Kluyveromyces lactis: one gene and its partner. The protein of the gene in region 1 purifies or fractionates together with the protein of each later gene. This does not show direct contact. Links are inferred from orthologs where the notes say so. Each region holds a gene or a part of one and is shown on either strand. Other genes may lie near its edges. The genes, in order: DAD3 and ASK1.

Region 1 (2,284 bases):
AATTTTAGCAGCTGGTTTCTCAAATCATCCTGTTTTGTACAGCGAAGGTTCAAGGGGTTGGGAAGTGTCCAAGATTTTGGATAGCCCAGTTAAGAGTGCTGGCAAATTGGTAGCATCAACTGGGGATGATGAAGAAGAAGGTGCCTTCGGTATGTCCGCATTGAGAAAGTTCAAGGAATTGGATTTGAAGGGTAAAGTTAGCCAGCAAGAAGAGAAATCTACCCATGTGAACTCAATTACAGAATTGGCTGCTTACAAGGAATCTAACAACAACGTCACTCAAGTTTCTTCTGTTGGTTTGGATGGTAAACTTGTTATATACAAGTTGTAGATATGGACGGTAAACGATTCATCTCTTCATCAAATAGTTGATCAGATCACCCCTATAACTCTTACGTTCAGAGTGAGAATACAATAAAAAAGAGTGGCCTTAGAAATGAAATATGTATATCTATGTTCATATATATTAAAATGTAATGTTACAACTCTGATTATGATTACAATAATCAGTCCGATTCCGCTCATAGATCTGAAGGTTTTTGTTGGTGATCCATCCGTCGCTGTATCACGAGTGAATATACGCTACCTTTGAGAAGCGTACTTACAAGAGATATTTTCACTTCAATTTCTCGCATCTCTTGTAAAATTGCTTCCGGTTTTGAGTCCTCATGGGTGTTGTTTAGATCTGAAAGTGTTTCGCTCAATTCCCTTAAGGACTCCGCTAGGAAGCGATATTTATCGAGCACACTTCGCTGCAATGGTGTCAGTTCCGAAGACATATTCAAAACACAAATAGTATGTTTCTTTGTAATTTGTACGTAAGCCCAAACCAGTAATGGTTACCTTTGTTGCCTTACCTTACATATTCAATTGGAACTCTATCCGGTAAACTTATGATAACGTTATTTCATTTTTGGTATTTTCCAATATTGACGAAAAACATAAACGATCGAATCCTGAAAGAATAACAACTCCATCCTTCAAAGTAAGGAATACAAAGCCAACGATTTGAATACAACACCAGCGCTCCTCTATTGCACGAACATCCACTCGAAAACTCTAGTTTCAGGTGTATACACTGAAACAGCGATAAATTTTATTCGAGTAAACGGTATTCTTTTCTTTATTCATTTGTGTTCAATTTCAATAATGTCACAGCAGTCCTCTCAGCAACAATCTTATACAATTTGGTCCCCGCATGATACGGTGAAGGATGTGGCAGATTCACTCGGAATCTCAAATACAAATGATGACGTGTTGAGGTCATTGGCGATGGATGTCGAGTACCGTATTTTGGAAATCGTGGAACAAGCGGTGAAATTTAAGAGACACAGTAAGCGATCTACTTTGACTACAAGCGATGTTGCGAAAGCTTTACGTGTCCTTAACGTCGAGCCATTGTATGGATTCGAGGAAGGATCAGCGAAAAATGAGCCCGTTAAGTTCAATAAGTTGGAGGGCGCTAATGGGCAGACGCTTTATTACCTAGATGATGAGGAGATCGATTTTGAAAAATTGATCAATACTCCATTACCAGAAGTTCCAAGATTACCAACGTTCACGGCGCATTGGCTAGCGGTAGAAGGAATTCAACCTGCCATTCCACAAAATCCAAATATCAATGAACTAAGGCTGAGTCAAGTTCCGTTGCAAAGAGGAGCAATAGTCTCACCATTAAACGAAACTTCTGTTCAAACCTCTTTACAAACAAATGTCAATGAAGAAAGACAGGCCACCGCAAATGGACCTATCTCGACACAAGTGAAACCAGGTGCAGCAAGTGAAGCTAAGCCATTGGTCAAACACGTTTTGTCTAAAGAATTACAGATATATTTCGAAAAAGTTGCTAGTGCACTTACATCGAAGGAAGAAGATATCAATTCACAACGGATGAGAGCAGCAGCTTTAACTTCGTTGAAGTCTGACACAGGACTACATCAGCTTGTTCCATATTTCATACAGTTTATCGCAGAGCAGATTACTCACCATTTAGAGGATTTGGAGTTGTTAACTACAATGTTGGAAATGATATATTCGTTATTGAGTAATCAATCAGTATTTTTGGATCCTTACATTCATTCTCTAATGCCTTCTATCTTAACACTACTATTAGCGAAGAGACTTGGTGGTAATGGCTCGAAAAACTCATCTGACGACAAGATTGTTGACCAGCAAAATAAAAAAGAGTTTTTAGAGAAGACTAATGCTGTCCGTGATTTTGCTAGCTCTTTACTCGATCACGTCTTGAAAAAGTTCCCAAAGGTTCACAAATCGTTGAAACCTC
Region 2 (2,807 bases), on another chromosome or scaffold:
ATGCACAGAATATACCCACCATGGAACTGTGCACCCTAGGATACGTGTTTGTTGAGAAGATAGTGCACATAAGCAAAGCCAATTCACCTATACTTCCTAGTACGAATGAGGCCCATACTAGATTCCGTTCATGTTTGGTAAAAAATGGAGGCATGACATATTTCTTCTGAATTAAAGCTTCGATGTAGTTCGATTCCATTATAGAGCTATCGTTAGATTTTTCTAAGTCATCATGATAAGTATACGGTAACTTGAAAGGCCAATGACCAGATCTTTGAAAATACTCTAGAGCAACCATGATTACGTATCCTAGACCTTGCCATGCCGCACAAGAAATAAACAACGGTTTTAAATTGGTCGCACCAATATGGGATATATAAACCGGGAACTGGTCTGTATGCATGAACCAATAAATGGGATGACCTTGTCCTGCCCAACATGCCAACATCGCAATTAGCATCCCATACCATGGAATGAAAGCTATCCAGGGAAAGATAAACCAGTAGTTACCTGGACGTGGAAACATATTAGTATAGTCTTGCGGTTTACGTTTATACCTGTATCAAATCCAATCCTTATGAGAATGTCTACCAGTGATATTCTTTAAAGGAATGAGCTATGTTGACCTTGTCCCGTCAAATTCGGCTGGTATAATATACTCATTCTTTTCCTTATATATCTAAAACCCGACTTCCACGAATAAAAAACAATATAAACTATATTTGACATATTTATATATATATGCTTTTATATGGCATGGCTTGTGTATGGCACTGCAGTGATGCTGTCACTGATGCCTTAAATTACAACTTGCTATTCACTGAATGTAACTGTCAATCGGCTCGATGATACACTAGCTTGAGACACCCTGCGCGATTTCTGGGCGCTTTGTTGCGATATTTGCTCCAGTAAAAAAAAAAGGTTTTCTTTCGATGCTTTACTAATAGGTTTCGAGGCTTAAGAGCAAGGATGGATAACGTAATGGATGATATCTAATTTTCCACTCCGAGTAGGCAGAGCCTTCTAAGCCATTGATACCCTTGAATAGCAGACGTGACCGGTGTCCTTGAATCAGTACGTATTATGTAGTTTAGTTTATACTTTCAGCTTGGAAATATCGTAAGCCTCATCCGAATCAGCCTAGCGCTTCTTCGTTGATCTGCAGAAAGTTACCTTGGCATTGCAGAGACTTTCTTTATGTCATTTCAAATTTCTTCTTAGAGTTACAAGAGGAAATATGAATTTGACCAAAAAGTCAACAAACCGGTTTGACAGAAAGGATTTGGATTTGGAAGTGTAAATAGTGACGGTTACAGGTAACAGGACGCGGTGTCCGTTGTTATAAATATTACAGTAAACAAGGAAAAGGACGCAATTAGTCTGTGCCAATTAGCTAACACTAGGTTTCCTGTTTTACATCATGGATGCAGTGAATATTGAACAAATAGATCAAGAGATCACGTTAAATTTACAATCAATCGATTCAGACCTCTCGTACTGTTTCAACAAGATAACAAAGGATATAATACCGTACGTGACGCGATATGGACAGACTTGTGAAGATATCACGAATTCTAGTTCGTGGCTGAAAGAAATGTTTCAGCAGAGTGCTAATGTTCAGTTGGTGACGGATCAGGCTGTGGAATCTGCGGGTCAGGTTTTGGAGCCCCGGACTTCCTTATTTCCAGAGGTAGAAAACGAAACTGATGAGTTCCATACAGTCGATCAATACCCTGCTTTATCTCAAACCGGAGTAAGTTCCGCTGGTGCCCCCACCACGAAAACAGGAGGATCGGTAAAACAGGATCAATTTCAAGATCAGGATACCGATGAGTTGACTCAGGATAGTGCAATGGAAAAACAGAGGAAGAAGAGAAAAGTTTCGTTACAAATTCACCAACATTTCAATTCGTCGTCATCTTCTAATTCTTCAATGGAGAATGATATCTCTGCAAACAGTTCCCCAATAAAGACGATCCCCCCGGAAACAGAAACTGGGACAGAAACACATAACAAAATCCAGGGCGAATTGGCCAAGCCGGGAACCGTTATTCATTTTAACAGCAAACGCGATTGAAGCTCTGTCTTAGCCTTCCCCCACTCACTTCTATATCATAGTGTGTGAGGTATACATTGTTACTCAGGGTTCCAGATCCTATGACCTGAACGAACAATCACGTGATATAATACTTTCCTTTTTAGTTTCATGCTTCTATAGCTTCGTTTTCAATCGGATTTCTACATGGTGAATTTGACATTCTGATTATGTGCGATGCAGAGACTAAGTGAGTATTCATATACGATACAAGATACGCCACAAAACTACCATGGGTAACGTGATGAGTGCAAGTTTCGCTACAGAGTGTACACCTTTGAAGGGTAAGTACGATAAATGTTTTAACGACTGGTACAGCGAGAAATTTTTGAAAGGTGAGTCAATTGAAAACGAATGCCAAACCGAATGGTACGAATATATGGAATGTGTCCAAGCTAGCTTGGTGAAACAAGGCATAAAACCAGCTCTAGATGAAGCACGTAAGGAAGCACCATTCGAGAATGACGGAAAACCTGTAGAGCCTTGAATTGCGGACCAAAGAAACGCATACATACCTGCGCCATTCGCTATGATGAATCTAAGTATAAAATAAATTAAAATGGGTTTCATTTGAAACCTCTGTAAATAGAGAATACAATACAATACCTAGCGCGTATTTTTGACCACAGTAGGGTTAACATTACCAGGAGTTTCGACTGAAGTTGTACCACCGCTACGTGATTATACCTTAATCCTTTCTCCACCGTAAGTC

What was found.
Region 2: the proteins of DAD3 (region 1) and ASK1 purify together in Saccharomyces cerevisiae (affinity purification with mass spectrometry; 3 studies listed by BioGRID, with this or other methods). This does not show direct contact. The link is inferred for Kluyveromyces lactis from reciprocal best matches to the Saccharomyces cerevisiae genes DAD3 and ASK1.

The regions. Positions count from the first base shown.
Region 1 is NC_006042.1:979,274-981,557, forward strand, and holds DAD3 (Dad3p), read right to left. Parts: upstream 780-2,284; coding exon 522-779; downstream 1-521. Other genes in the region: ARC40 (Arc40p), read left to right, coding at 1-331; TATA-binding protein-associated factor TAF6, read left to right, coding at 1,150-2,284.
Region 2 is NC_006039.1:1,072,043-1,074,849, forward strand, and holds ASK1 (Ask1p), read left to right. Parts: upstream 1-1,420; coding exon 1,421-2,077; downstream 2,078-2,807. Other genes in the region: SFK1 (Sfk1p), read right to left, coding at 1-526; MDM35 (Mdm35p), read left to right, coding at 2,328-2,582. UniProt on the Saccharomyces cerevisiae protein: Component of the DASH complex that connects microtubules with kinetochores and couples microtubule depolymerisation to chromosome movement; it is involved in retrieving kinetochores to the spindle poles before their re-orientation on the spindle in early mitosis and allows microtubule depolymerization to pull chromosomes apart and resist detachment during anaphase.